2 linked regions of the Lytechinus pictus genome follow. The protein of the gene in region 1 purifies or fractionates together with the protein of each later gene. This does not show direct contact. Links are inferred from orthologs where the notes say so. Each region holds a gene or a part of one and is shown on either strand. Other genes may lie near its edges.

Region 1 (7,829 bases):
ACAAATTCTGCGCACTACATGGTTCACTCAAAATATAAGAACAGTTGGGGCCAGCTCATGTATTGACTGTTTGGGCACGTGTCTGCAGCATAAATCTACAAGTAGTGCCAGTGCCTAGCCTACCATTGTTATGCCCATTGTTTTAAACTGAAATAGTTTATCAAATACCAACATGACCAAAGCTTAATTAACGTTAGACGGGAATTCATAACCGCATTTTTTTCTGGCATTCTCCCACTTTGCAGTATGCAACACACACTTTAAAAAATCATTAAAATAACATGTTTGTGACCAAAAATACTAATTTCCATACAGTTGCAATTTATTTTTCTTTAGTAACATGGGAATAATTTTTGTATTCACCAGAGCGTTCAAAAACTTGAATTTGGGGCATATTTCTGTGTACACCCTCTATTGGAGTAAAGTAATAATGGCATGGAAATTTTCATTTTTCAATGTCTATTTTTAATTTAGAAAAAATAATTAAAAGAATCAAATTTACTTACGGGCCAAGTTATATGATGATTAGCTGTAATGGAATCTCAGTGTCAAAGTCAAACAATCAAGCATGATTTGTTCCAATGAAAAAGAGAAAAATAAGCCAAACATTGCCAACCTTATTTTGCCACACATGGAGTACTAAAAGAGAACAAGGTTATATCAATAATCATAATCTTGTTCATTGAATGCATTTTCCTTTGACCTAACATCCCCAGACCCCGATGTCATGGATGAACATAGACAGCTGGCAGCCGTCCGTTTTTAGGATTTTTTAAAACATTTTTTTTTTCTCCTCATACACAGACGGCTTGCTATCGGGCAGCCACCATTAGGGGGTCAACAATGCAAAATCCCCCCGTCGGGGCTCATCGATTTTTGTCTTTATTTCATAACAATATATAAAAAGAACTTGTCCAAAATAAAGATTATTATTCTATTCTGGCCTGAAATGCACCAAAACAGGAAAAATAAACTTAAAAGGGGGAAAAACAGTGGCTTACTTTGGCTGTCGCGCAACTCCCACTTCCTGGTTTATCCGAACTTAATACAGAAACATATGGCCATTAAATCCCTGTACAGATCGAGTTAGAACTTCGGTCTCTGTATTTGGTGAGTGGAGCTTGCGGAGTTCAGCGGAACAACCAACATAACAGAGACCGAAGCTTTTGGTCTAGGATGTATAACATAGTTTAGGCTTATTAAATTACCGGACCAACTAAAAAAAAGAACTATGTACAGAGACTGAAGCTTTTTTCTATCAATGACAACAGATCATAAAACTTGAATAGATTGTATTGGGTCTGCAAAGAATTTTAGCTGAAACATGCCTCCCCCACCCCCTCCCATCCAAATGAAAATCATCATCATCCAGGGGCCGCGGAAGCGGGGGGGGCTGGGGGGCTTCAGCCCCCCCACTTTTTTCCAAAACCGTGTACAAAAACACAAAAATGACCATACGATTGTGATTTTGTACATGGTCAGCCCCCCCCCCACCTTTGAAAACCGTTCCGCGGCCCCTGTCATCAGATCTCTAAGCTCTGCTCAACTCCAAGTCAAAACACCATCCATCACCACCACTCACACGTATTGCGAGGTTAGTATTAGTATACTAACATTTTTTTTTTTTTCTCCTCATACACAGACGGCTTGCTATCGGGCAGCCACCATTAGGGGGTTAACAATGCAAAATCCCCCCGTCGGGGCTCATCGATTTTTGTCTTTATTTCATAACAATATGTAAAAAGAACTTGTCCAAAATAAAGATTATTATTCTATTCTGGCCTGAAATGCACCAAAACGGGAAAAATAAACTTAAAAGGGGGAAAAACAGTGACTTACTGGGCACCACCAGCACCACTCTAGGCGACACCCCAATACTTACCCGTGTTAATAAACTGGGACTCCACTCACGCGCATTTGGGCCGCCCTAGCTTAGAACTAAGCAATATTATCTAGAAATTGTTAAACTATAGTCATGAAATATGTTCTATTGAATAAATTGATAATATTAAATCGGTACTCACCGGTTCTTTTGTTGCATTTTCAGACCATTTCTCACAATTCTTCGTAAATATTTGCGGCAAATTTTGTCGCCATAGACAGCTATACGTCCATCTTTATTAATAAATGGAGCGCCCTTTACGATAGTTGTTAATGCCGCGGATAAATCGTTAGGCATTTTGGCCTGTGTTCAAGGCGTTCTTTCTGTTTTATTTTTTATATTGAAGATTGTGCATTTGTTGAATAGCGCCGTCTACGTCAGGTATGAGATCGAGTGTATAAATAGACTCTTCCAAAATAATTATGATTCCGACCTGGCGCTGTTTAACTTCAATCTCTTTCACCTAAATTAGCGATGAATGCTAGCATTATAAAATATATATTATTAACGTCTGACAAAAAGAATAATCAACCGATCAGCTGACGAGAACGCGAATCACGTGATCTTCATATCAGCTTCGATCGCGAGTCAGAAGTGAAGAGCAACTGCCCAGAAAATCAGGAAAAAGCCGTGAAAATGTAAGTTCCCCTTCATTTCTTTCATTTTTTTGTTGTTGCTAACGATGCATTCACACTATAAAATTATAATTTAAATAAGAGAAAGGAATATAGCTTGTACTTGTGATATAATATAGAAATATCCTGTTCTCAGAGATTTCTAACCAAAAATACTACTGATGTCGCCTATGAGGTCCATACATGTAATGTTTGGACCTCATTGGTACTAGCTAACTAGGAGTGACCAGCACCCCCTTTTACTGGGCACCACCAGCAGTGCAGTCCACTCACAATCAACTCACCTCTCCCTCAGTCGAGTCTCAGCTCAGTCTGACAAAAATGGGCAGCATCACTCCATTTCACCACTACTACTGCCACTGTGAAGTACTAAAATAGTCTGTGAATATTTCTAAAGATGAGCCATTCTCAATCTTTGGATCTAGTAAGATTGAATACCAATTTACTTGTTCTTATATACTCACCTTGCTCGGCTCTCGACTCGGCTCTGTTCCCTCCCGATGGATGACTATTGCAAGTGCTGTATGCAATATGCATGCAAAAAATAAAATACGGCGGTGAATGCTTCCGGATTCACACGCGTCTCAATGGCAACCCAAAATAGATCATGACATAATTGGCTTTCCAAGCGATGGTGCAACCGTCGACCAATCAATGGGCTTGCATTGGTTCCCAACCCCTGGCCCTGTGTGAATTAAAGGGAAATTTGCATAACAAAATGAGTGTGACGTAGTTTATTGACATCGGTCGATTGCTGTAAACGAGAGGGAAGAGGGGGGGGGGGGGGGGGGGGGGGGTACTCTGGTTCCTTTTTCGTAAGTTCGACAAACGTGGTGGAAAACTAATAGCTTAGAGCTATTCTAGGCCCTCTGAAAAGTCAGGCGCAAAGCCGGGGAAAGGCAGGAGTGATCCCGGGTGATGATGATCGCCCAAAAACGAAAAACACCCACAGAAAGGGGAACAAACGAGGATAGAGCCATTAGGATTGTGAGTATTTTTTTCTCCTTCAAATAAGTGAATAAATAAATAAAATATATATTATAAACATAAACGAGAGCCCCCTCTCCCCCTTCTCTCTAATTCTAAATTAGTATGAAATCAATTTTGAAGTTCCGCACTTATTAATGACGATACTCCCCTTTATCATGATCCTTTCTCAACCGAGCCTCGGTTATAGTTATATCTTGCCAGCAAGTAATAAAATATACTTTCGGGTGTGGACCTTTTAGTAGAGTATGAAAAGTCATAATTTTCCCCCTTTCCTATTAGTGACACAAATTCCCGCACTATAAGACCCCGATGAAGACCTACAACTTATACCCTTGCTTTTGTTTGGCTGCTGATCCCTGTTACCATGGTAATATATTTGTAACTCTTAATGAAATGGGTGGCATCAGGGGTGGGTCAGGCATCCGCCAACAGGGGGCCCGATTTTTCCACGCTCAGTAGGTTAGAGCGTCCGTCTCACAACCGGGAGGTCGGGAGTTCAAACCCCGGCCACGTCAGACCAAAAGAAGTTTAAAAAGTTGGGAATTGCTCCCCTGATTGGCGTTCAACGAATAAAGGCATAGAGCATCGTCGATCTGGCGCTGCACAGCGGCTATACCGGGCCCAAGATCAATTGGGCACAGCAAATTTTCGGAATATTTCATTTCATGTCTATTTCGAACAATAAAATGAAATATGGATATGAAATATGGAATCAGTGGATCCCCGATGGGCCGCTCAAAATTGATGTTTATTTGTTTCTTTGAAGGGGTAGTCCTAACAGTCACTTCTTAGCTTTATTCTTATAAAACAACATAAATGTGTTATAATCTCAAAAACCTTGTTTTTTATATAGTGCGAGCGCGAAGCGTTAGCTAAATGTTTTTTTTTTGGAAATGTCATGTGTTTTGTCTGAAAATTTAAAGGGGAATGAAACCTTTGGTACAAATAGGCTTGTGTCGAAACACAATAATCAAAGAATAAGAACAAAGAAAGTTTGAGAAAAATCGGACAAATAATGAGAAAGTTATGAGCATTTGAATATTGCAATCATTAATGCTATGTAGATCCTCCCATTGGCAATGTGACAAGGATGTGTGATGTCCACTGAACTAGAGATATTTCTAGTTCAGTGGTGATGTCACATGTGAACAACTTTCCCTTTGATGGACTCTAAAATACCCCCCAAATGTCTCTATTTGCTTTTTCTTAAGGTGACACAATCTCTTTATCCATGATGTATTCTTTAAAAATCTGTATTACATGCCCTCCTATAGAAAGAACACATGATCTACTGATAGATGTGATAAAAGAGGCAGTTTAAGTGAAATATATAGTAAAGTACTGGGGAGAGTTGTTCACAAGTGACATCACACATCTTTGTCCCATTGCCAATGTGAGGATCTCCATAGCATTAGTGATCGCAATATTCAAATGCTCATAACTTTATCATTATTTGTCCGATTTTTCTCAAACTTTCGTTGATCTGTTTCTTTGATTTTTCTGTTTTCACACAAGCTATCTTGTTTCAAAGGTTTCATTCTCCTTTAACATTATAAATGTTTGTGATCCTGAAAAAATGCGTATATGTAACGAGATAACTATACTGCGAGCGCGCAACAGAAATGTTTAAAATGCGTTCAGGCCTAATCGAAAAGGGACCTGTTATGCGAAGCGCGATCCAAACAAAATTCCGACCTAAAAATGGACATTTTAAGCAATTTTTGTAATCATGAACGGGATAGGTGATAGGTTATTGATGCAAGCGCAAAAGCGCGACCGGAAAAAAAAAGAGATATTAGACCTGAATCTTGACACTTCATGTTTTGTAAATCATGAAAAACGATGATAAATTTGTTATTTTTTTCTACACTGTAATGCGAGCGCGAAGAGCGAGCAGAAAGTTTTTGATATTCTGATATGAAATTGGATAATTTAAACACGTTTTAAATCCGAGAACAAGCTGTGTATCTCAATATACATGCGTGTGCTTGTTTTAGAGTTAGACCTCAGAATCTGGGCATTCTGAATGCATTTTTCTATCATCATAAAATCAATAATGCGAGCACGAACCGCGAGCTGAAAATATTTGATATTCCGATCTGAAAAATTTTAATTTAGCTCTTTTTCAAGCACTGTGTAGGAATATTGTGAAGTGGATGTGAACGCACATTATATATATATATATATTTATTTATATATATACATATAAATATATATATATATATATATATGGATCCGCCTATGGGCGGCATAGTCTCCTGGTGGGAGCGGGTAACTCTATATATCCAAATGCTACTCCCCATGCAGGGGCCGCGGAACGGTTTTGAAAGGGGGGAGGGAATGACCATGCAAAAAATCACAATCAGATCGTAATTTTTACGTTTTTGTACATGCACGATTTTGGAAAAAAATGGGGGGGGGGGGGCTGAAGCCCCCAGCCCCCCGGTCCCGCGGCCCCCTGTATAGGCTACTTTGGCTTTTCACCCCATGTGGGCATGAAATTCGTTCCGTACTATACGGTATTAAAATATTTAAAAAAGTAAACGACTTCGAATATCAAACTTCATTCAGTATCCCTCAACGTCCATCTCCTCTCTTATTTTGTGCCCTTTATCTGGAATTTTCAATGCCCAAGATGTTACACATCTGATTTTCTTTTCTTTCAAATTTTGATATATCACGCATGTTTCAGTGCTGTTCGCGTGACGTTTTTGCGCTCTATTTTCCTCGTAATCAAGTTCTACAATCTTATCAAGACCGGGAGACCTTGTGAATTATGATATCTGAATTTTGTTAACAATGGGAATAAACACATGAAAATTCAGAGCTACAACGTTATGCGCCCATATCATTTTTTTTTGGGGGGGGCAGAGTCAAGTTATGATGAAATTATTCATTTTTTGGAGTATAGAATTTCTTTGTTTTGCGCATATTGTTTTGTTGTTGTTTACTTCTATATTGTGTTTTATATTAAAGAAAATTAATTCCAAAATATGGACTCTGAATGGATCTTTTGATTAAATCTAAATTGGAATCATCTGACATTCAAACAATCAAAATTTGTACTTCGCCTAATAATTAAAAGTTTAGAAGTATCATTCAATTCAATTCTTTTATTTCATTTCCATTCAAAACATAATACAAAGTAATATAAAGTAATACAAATCAAGTACAATTTTACAGAAGGGCATTCTTACTTCGTAAAAAAAAAACACAGAAAAAACAGTATAATATAGAGCATAAATGGAAATGAGGGGGATCCACTAAAAAGCAAAGCTTGTAAATTGTGGATCCCCCTTGGAAAGGGCGGTGGAAAGGAATGAATTACACAATTTGGTAATTATAGGACTATACAAAAATATTAAAATTAACGACAGTGCAAAAAGCGCGATAGCTCAGTCGGTAGAGCGGGGGATTCGTATGCCGGTGACCCGGGTTCGATTCACACTTGGTGCGCTATTGCCCTTTGGTAAGGCATTAATCCTCATTACCAGGTCCTTCGGAGAGGACCTTAAGCCGTCGCACAGTGGGCCAGAATGAGTTGAAAGTGCGCCAAAATTATATTCCGTGTTAGATTTTTACTTTAACATGTTGCTTGTGGGTAATTTGGGCCGTAGAATCGACTGAACATAATTTAAAGCCGATATGACGTCACCTTGATACCAAATTTTGATTGGCTACTTAAAACCTATCTGTGAAAAGACAAATTACGCTAAACAATGTGTAGTACATAAACTTTGTGTTATGTGCTACTTTAAGATTGATCAGAGTGAATAGTGGTTTATGCTTCTCACATGCCTAAAAAGTGTGTATGAGATGCCGAAAATAATTTTATGGCATCAAAATGATCATTAATTAGATTTATAAAAAATAAAATAAAATCTGAAAAATATTAACCGTGCTTTATCAAGCTGTGTGGACTTATGTAAAACGCAGAGTATATATAACACCACGAATGTATCACTATAAGGAAGGTTTTGGGCTGAAATTATTCTACAAGTAAGTTTTATCTCTGGAAGAGTTGTGGGTATAGCCCTTATTTGCGTTAGCAACCTTTATTATGTTTATATTATGCCCGGAATTTATGTCATTTTCATGGAATGGAAGGGAATTGTCCTCGCCGTGCAAAAGCGAACGGCAATGTACACCCATACGGTGCGCTACGATGACTGCGCGGTATAAAAATGACCGTTTTTTAACAGGTTTTTGGGGTGTTGTGTCAAGTAAAATCGGCTCTAACATGAAAACGGGCAAAAACGGGCAGCTAAATTTGGTATCGACTTAAAGCTGAGACATCGGAAAAAATGATGCTTATAGAATTT
Region 2 (8,140 bases), on another chromosome or scaffold:
TGCTAAAAATAATGTTTATGTCATCACTTTGGTCCACTATTGGATTGATTCACACAAAAGAGGACTACCAAAAATTATAGTATTATTGAATATTTTTACATCACACTGTGCACTATATATTCTACACATACTGTTGAAATGGCTTCATACTTTAAACCAGAATGAATACTGTTCAGATGTACATGTATATTGAGATCTAAAAATGTTACATCAATGAGATTTTATTACAGAATTGTCTTCTTACTTCTAGCTTTTTTCTCCTGGCTTCATCAAGAAAATCTTTCAGGATCTGGATCTGGGCTACCTGGTTGTCCTATGGTAGAAACAAAAAGCAAAATAAAAAAGAATATTATTATATCAATAATTAATTGAATAGTCCTACTAGAATCTGAATATTTTAATTCAATGATATCTACTATGATTTTAGGTATAAGATTCATGAAAGCAATGTGCAGCATAGAGCGCAATGATGCTTAATGACGTTATAATGAACTACAAAAGTCGCATTAATTTGATCCCATGAAGTGAGGCTGTAAATGACACGACTTGCTCAATACAATTCCCCCTTTTTTTGGGGGGGGGGGGTGGGATAGATAATTATGATAATATTGGATGGCTTTATGTCATGGAATACCATAAATATTTCAACTGTTAGAGCCAATATTCCAATTAAATGCACTTCATGTAATATTAGCCCTAACTCTTGGAATATTTCTGGTATCCCATTCTGAGACATCAATTACAATATACTTATTAGTTATTATTATCATAATTACGACTTCATTGTCTTCTGCTACATAATGCAGCAATATCTCCCTGTTATAAAATCATATGAGAGTTATTTATTTCATACCATCTCCAGCTTCCTTTTCTTGCTGACTAGTACTTCTAACATGAGGTTGACTTCTGCTAGATCCCATTTCTCTTGGTCTTGAATAAATTCTTGAACATCAGGTGTAGGACCACCAGTCTAAGAGAAATCAATCAATGTATGTAATAGCCTTGTTCTAATGTTGTTGTTTTTTACATTGAAAATAGCGCATGCTAATATTTGGAAATAGTTCACTAAAAGTTTGAAATCATTAATCTGTATTAAAGCCTTATATTAATATTGTAATCTTCCATGGAAAGTATTTCTAAATACTCTTGAGTGAAAATTTAGCTATTTAAAAACAATATAATGGCCTTTTCAATTTTCCAGTAAAATTAGCGTATTGATAAATCTAAATGCATGATATGGTAATATCCATGGCAAGTGTTTTCAAACAGTGAAAATCTGACTCAATTTTTCAAAATGATATTTAACAATCGATCAGTTGAGAGGAAGACTTTTGCTCACATGTTCCATATTTCTCATTTCATGTAGTATTACAAACAGAATCTCCTTTATAATTCAACCAAACTGAATTAAGGCTGTCATTACTCTTCCCTAAACCAATATGTGATGTCACATCTATACAATAGTTTCAGAATTTGTATTATTCTACAAACAATATAAGTTCTAGCGACCTTTACAGTGAGAAGAATCAGACTGCATTTTATGTAACCATATATTTCCCTGGTAAAGCAATGGAAAAAATTACACAGGGGCTCAGGGTGATTTTGCCCCCAAATGGTCAAAAGAGCTTTGGAAAACCCACATTAGATTGTTTACATAACCTACTGCACAAATCTGTAATATTGGATAAGCTTGTCCAATATTACAGATTTGGGCAGTAGGTTGTGTATAGAAGTCCCTAAAAATGAACTATCAATTTTTTACCTGTGGTAAAGCTACACGTAGAACTTTCGTGAATCTAAGGCTTCTTACCTGAGGGCCAAGTTTTAACCTTTTCTCTTCAACTCTTTGTCTGTACTTCAGAATAAGTTCATTCACTGCAAAGAGAGAGAGAGAGAGAAGAGAGGTAAAAATCAAGATAATATACAGTGTACCAAACAAAGTGAAAACTATGTGTGTTATATCGCATTCACTTTAAAACAATTCCATGATTTATTGATGTCTTTATGTGGGAGCTTCCTAAAAGGATTGTCTCTGTTCTCAAATTCATATGAAAAGTTGTAAAGCTATCAAATCACCGTGAAGTGCCAAAAGGATTGGAGAAATTGGGAGTCTTTTGTACAAGAATAATTATTTTACTGAAATGCAGCTACATGTACATGCAGATTGTAAAATATGAACTCTTTCAAACTTTGATTATCAATTCAAAACATCTAAAATGCATTTCAAAGACCTGTTGACATAAAAATTTACAAGGCAATATGAGTACAGGTACATGCTATTATATGAAAAAGCAAAGCAAATTAGGTTTATATCACTGGTGGTTTTGTTCACCTCCTACATATAATGTGCACAATTAAATAATTCCAATAATTAGTTGCTTTATTGCTTTTTGTCTTTGTGAACTTGGACCATTATGCCCAGTACCCATCTATGGATCTTGTCATAAATATATATTCTCCGTCTTCATTAATATCAAAACAAAACAACTCTAATTACACAAGGCACCTGCCCACAGCCTCCAAGAAACTGTATTGCATGTTGTCACAGAGTCACAAGCAACCTCCAGAAAACTTCTACGGTCACTTATACAACACTGCATTCCTTGCAAACACATTAAACACAGAATAAAGACAATTTGCAAAACCAATAGTGCAGTATAATGCTTTCACCTTGGCTCCCTAATTTAGTCTCCTATCAACTCGTCAACTCGTATGTACAATATCGCATTACCTCGCAATAATGTACAAAACTTACAGGCAAAATTTGGAAATATTTGGTCAGTCTTCTCTATAACAAAATTGCACTTTGGACATCTGTTGCTTGTCTCCAGGCTTCGCAATATACATCTCCGGCTAAGAAAGAAAAAAAAAACATAAAATTTTAAGAACAGAAGAATGTAAGATGTTTGTGCTTTATTCTGTATGTGTGTGGTTATATTACCTGATAACATAACCTGCATAAGAGTGTTTTTTGACAGACATCCATATAATTCATTCATTGTTAAAGTTTCAAATCAATATTAAATGTAATTTATGTTTTATTTTTAATTTGGTCTAATGCGCCTTAAATGGAAGATGCCCTTTCTAAATTATAACTATTGTTATTATATCAGTAATCGTTATTATCATGTAGTCATGGTAGGTACCACAAGAAGTTCAATTGTATTGCCAACAAACATATTAACATGCAATTAGAAAGCTTCACTGATTTCATCTTACCAGAAACTGTGTCCACATCTTGTCATATGCGCCTCCTCAATAACTTCAAAACAGATTGGACTGAAAGATACAATACATGATCTAGAATTAGTAATTTCTCACAGAAGAATGATATTGTAAATTTCCAGGAAAAAGGTATTAATAAATGTGAATGAGAGTGTTAACATGTCTACAAATGTCTCCAAAAGAGACTTTAAAAATTCGATATCACAAAATTCATGAGCATCTATAGGTAAAAGATAAACAAAATTGAGTATAGAAGGGGGTGGTTGAAAACATTCGATATCAAAGCTATCTAAATCTTTGGTAAATGTTCAATTCAATTCATTTTATTATCATGTAATCACTAAAAACATTAAAACTGTTGTGAGACTCTTGATGCATAACATGATGAACAGGAAAGTGCACGTGAAAAAGTATTTATCACATCAGGGACACAAATTACAAATGAATATATCAGAAACAGAAATAATTCAGATAATTTGAATTAGACTAAAGTATCATCAAACATTCTAACATGACTGTTTATTTATTTTTTTAAGTTACAGCATACATGTACAGGTATCTAGTGACCTACATGTAAATGTGTCTTGGAAATATTCTGATTTATATTTTAATGGCCATAGAAATTTGGAGATAATACATGTATATCTTTATGAATCACAAAACAGTACATGTATTGTTGCAACTACTAGAACTTCGCAACAATGGCAACTCCATATCTTTAGAAAGGAAATAAAACTTGTTTTGCATTATGAGGAGGTAAACATCAAGATATGTATATATATATTTATATATATATTTTAATGGATTCATTGTTTATATTAGTCTGCCCACCTGTGTGCTTTGAAACACCTGTATGAAGCGGCTATATTTATATACATTATTATATTTTACATTTCATATAAAATAGTGATTGGGTAAAGTAGGTCTTCTCATATTGACCATGGTGCGCATCGTTTTGTGATATTAAGGAAAACTTTATAACATAACCTTTTTAATTTTACATTTGATTTTGATGAAATTTTCAGTGCTACATGGATACTAGTTTGATTTTTCTCTTTTCATTCAAACCAACTTTTTTGTTGGTGTGGACTTGCTCTTTTTAAGGAAGCATTGAAATCATTAACCACTTTTATAAATGATGGTCTATTTCAAATGCCTCATATCATACTACACATGTAGCAAAACTGAAACTGTCAAGTTTTTCTATTATTAGCCTAGCTGTCTGGTTTAATACTTTATATAAATACATGTACATAGTTAACATTTTTTGTTCATTTCATCTTAAATAGGTACATATAAATTCTTGTTAAACTGCATGGTTGAAGCAAATAGGGGAAAAAATCTATTCACCAAAATGACCCGTATTCTGGTTTAACTTTATTAGACCATGGTCTAACTCTGTGCTGAAATTATGGAAAGCCAAATATGTCAAAATTTTGTGTACATTTTAAGTTTATTGTGTTTACTTTGCTCTTTCTTATAAAGTCTTTGATGGTGGAGTTGACTATATCTTTCACAAACAGTTAAAGGTCAAGTCCACCCCCGAAAAATGTTAATTTGAATCAATATAGAAAAAATTAACAAGCACAATGTTGAAAAATTTCATCAAAATCGGATGTTAAATAAGTTACACATGTATGACATTTTAAAGTTTTGCTTATTATTCACAAAATAGTTATATGCAGAACTCAGTGACATGCAAATGAGAGTTGATGTCCCTCACTCACTATATCTTTTGTTTTTTAATGTTTGAATTATAAAATATTTCAATTTTTACAAATTTGACAATAAGGACCAACTTAACTGAACCATAAATTTTAAAAACAATGGTAATTCCACATATTCAGGGAAAATAAAACTTCTTTTACATTACCATGAGGAGAAAATTAGAATATTTCATATAATAAAATACAAAAGAAATAGTAAGCGGGTGACATCATCAGTCCCCTCATTTGCATACAGACCAGGATGTGCACATAACTGATTTTTCTCTTTTTCTTTAAACAACTTTTTGTTGGGGTGGACTTGTCCTTTAAGAATGATTCGAGAGTCAACTGAGCTGATAACATTGAACCTCTACTGTTAGGAATCGATGCAACAAATTGACTTTCTATAGTTAAACCACAACTTCAGACCACAGTTTGAATTTAACCCAACTTCAGAATACAGGCCATGGAGTTTTTTTTTCAGTTTCTCCTTTGTGTGCAGATGTTCATCTTCAAAAACTTTAAAACTTAATTATCTTACCAATTTATACAAATAAAATGGGCTGGTAAATAGCAGATGTTGCCAATTTGAGGGTTTATCATGTACATGTAGAATTGCACAAACTAAGGTATCACTTGATAATGTGGAAATCAATCTGATAGATATTGCAGTACTGTATATCTGGATGTGTATTAGCCGCATGCCTATTGGGCCTGGGAACGAGGAAGGATTTTTTGGCACAAAAAGCAATCTTCCCAGGGTTCACTCTCGTCACCTCTTGTCACAGTGGGTGGACCAGTGTGGTCAAATACATTTCAATATGGGTATGAAAAAAAAAGGCCCCCCCCCGTGATTTATTGAACGTACCTCCACCATGCCCCATGGAAAGATAAGGTGACAGAAAGAGAGAGAAAGAAGAAGCGAATAGAGTAGAGTACATGCATATACAGATACAGTATCGCTCGAAATAAAGTTGACAGATAACGCACGTGAAACGCGCTAACCAATGTGGGTCTGACTATCGCAATATTCACGCGCGTGAACGTCAGGCCAGTCTGAGGCAGATATCGCCGTGTTCTTGCCGGTGATTCGGCGCACGGCCACGGCCGCGAACTACTGTCTCGAGCTGCGATAATTATCGCGATAGGACTCCAATCAGCGAACCTTTTCTATATCATTCGCAAAGATTATGGGCATAGATTATTTCTTTGAATTACATTTTCGATAACTGATTGGCTTGGAAAACAACTCACATGTAGCGATCAGTGGAATCGCTCTGCTTTAGAATAAGAATCTAGAATCTACTCGGCCGCGCATCACATGCCTGGCCAGGCCAGCAAACAATCTTGGTTCACGTTCCTGGCCTCAGTTCTCCGCCGTACGCGCGCGCCTGCGAAATGAAATGGGTTGATAGACGCTGACTACGAGTTTGTATGCCAGCGCAGCTGTCCCAAGCAAAGTACTTAAATTGTTAACGTTGAAATAGATTACTCACAATCGTCCCTCAGACCATGGACCTATTACATGCTCAGACCCAACCAATAATTATCCATTTTGTTTCTTCCTTCTCCAGCTCTAGCTAGGGTCCGAGTATCTGCCTGATGTTGACTCTTTGCTGGCTGAGCCAAATCTCAAGGCCCGTATTTAGAGTCACATAGCTTTTTGCATCATTATTATTACTACTACTACTATTATTTCTATTATCATTATTATCATAATCATCGATGTTATCATTAATTCTACCACTATACCGGGTTTTTTTTTTCTAATGAGACCCGAGCCCTATAATGGATTGATTTAACTTGCGTGCAATTACACGAATGTAAGCTAAGAATTACCAAAATATGGACCTCTTAAGTGTTAAAAAATAGATTTAGTGATTTTGTTTCAAGCATGATAATTGTTTTGAGGGAATATCACATAATTTACCTCCCTATAATTCTCTCTTTTCTTCCTATTTCTCCACCTACTATGATCCCCGTTATGATAATTTTGTGTTCATTCATTAATAGAGAGTATACTGAAAGAAAGAATAGAAAAACACAATTACAATTATTATTATTTGCAGCTCATCAGTACGATGCAGCATTAACTTAAGTTTACGTTTGAAACAATAATTGAGTGAATAATTCGTCGAATTAGGCAGTCTTTAAATCAGTTTTCTGAGTAACTTACGTGATGACAGTGATGGTTATTATGATCGTGATGACAGTGATGGGTATTATGATCGTGATGATGATATCGAAAAGAAAGGTAATGACGGTGATCATGATGGTGATGATTGTGATTGTAATCCTAACGATGATGGCAATGACAAGAATGGTGATGATGATAATTATAATGTTGAGATTATGATGATGGTAATAATGATCTTAATAATTGATCATTAGAATTATGAAATAATCCCGAGAATAGCAATAATAGTGATGATCATGGGCGGCGGATCAGAAGATAATATTTTGCGATGGGGGACAAATATTGATGCACCCTATGAACATAGGATATATCCCCTGCTTCGGCCCCCTCGGTGATGATTAATTAATGTTTTATGATGTTGACGGTGATAATGATATAGTGATGAAGGTGCCGAGAATAATTATGATAATAATCCTAAAAGTTTGATGATTACAATAGTTATATGTCAATGATGATTATGGCGATGGTGATGACATGGCAGTGGGGAGGGGGCATGTATGCATTTTTTTTTTTTTTTGAGATTCCATTTGAAAATTAAAGGTAAGTCCTATACTGAACAGTTTCACCGCGTGTTTCTCACCAAGGCGAACTTCTACTTCAAGCTATCGGTAATTACAGAGCTGCAACTCTCCAGTTGGTTCGGGATTCCACCCATGAACCTCAAACAGTGAACGAATGAACAATAACCAGGTAACATAATGGCATACGATGTCAATGGACAAAATTTTCTCCTTATGTCTATTTATCGTAAGGTTTCCATTACAGTGAGGCAAACATTATTTTGATTACATGGTGACTTCTTAAAAGTTGCCTAAGACTAAGTGTGGGATTTTTAAGGGGAAGGAAACACGCTGCATGGATTTTCTCCAAGAAACGTGATTTTTGAAACTTGTAAGAATGATGGTTTTTGGTAGGACTACATTTTTCAAAATTTTAAAGAAAAATTGAATTTTAGGCTTGAAAGAAGGTTAAAAAGAAGAGGATTTGTTTTCACAATTAGGTAATTGGCTGA

What was found.
Region 2: the proteins of major vault protein (region 1) and E3 ubiquitin-protein ligase COP1-like purify together in Homo sapiens (affinity purification with mass spectrometry; 3 studies listed by BioGRID and IntAct, with this or other methods). This does not show direct contact. The link is inferred for Lytechinus pictus from reciprocal best matches to the Homo sapiens genes MVP and COP1.

The regions. Positions count from the first base shown.
Region 1 is NC_087246.1:13,798,261-13,806,089, reverse strand, and holds the start of major vault protein, read right to left. Parts: upstream 3,107-7,829; 5' UTR 2,982-3,106; exon of another isoform or gene 2,791-2,981; intron 1-2,790. UniProt on the Homo sapiens protein: Required for normal vault structure. Vaults are multi-subunit structures that may act as scaffolds for proteins involved in signal transduction. Vaults may also play a role in nucleo-cytoplasmic transport.
Region 2 is NC_087259.1:28,174,840-28,182,979, forward strand, and holds the start of E3 ubiquitin-protein ligase COP1-like, read right to left. Parts: upstream 3,282-8,140; 5' UTR 3,246-3,281; coding exon 3,220-3,245; intron 2,854-3,219; coding exon 2,756-2,853; intron 1,876-2,755; coding exon 1,811-1,875; intron 971-1,810; coding exon 854-970; intron 314-853; coding exon 245-313; intron 1-244. UniProt on the Homo sapiens protein: E3 ubiquitin-protein ligase that mediates ubiquitination and subsequent proteasomal degradation of target proteins.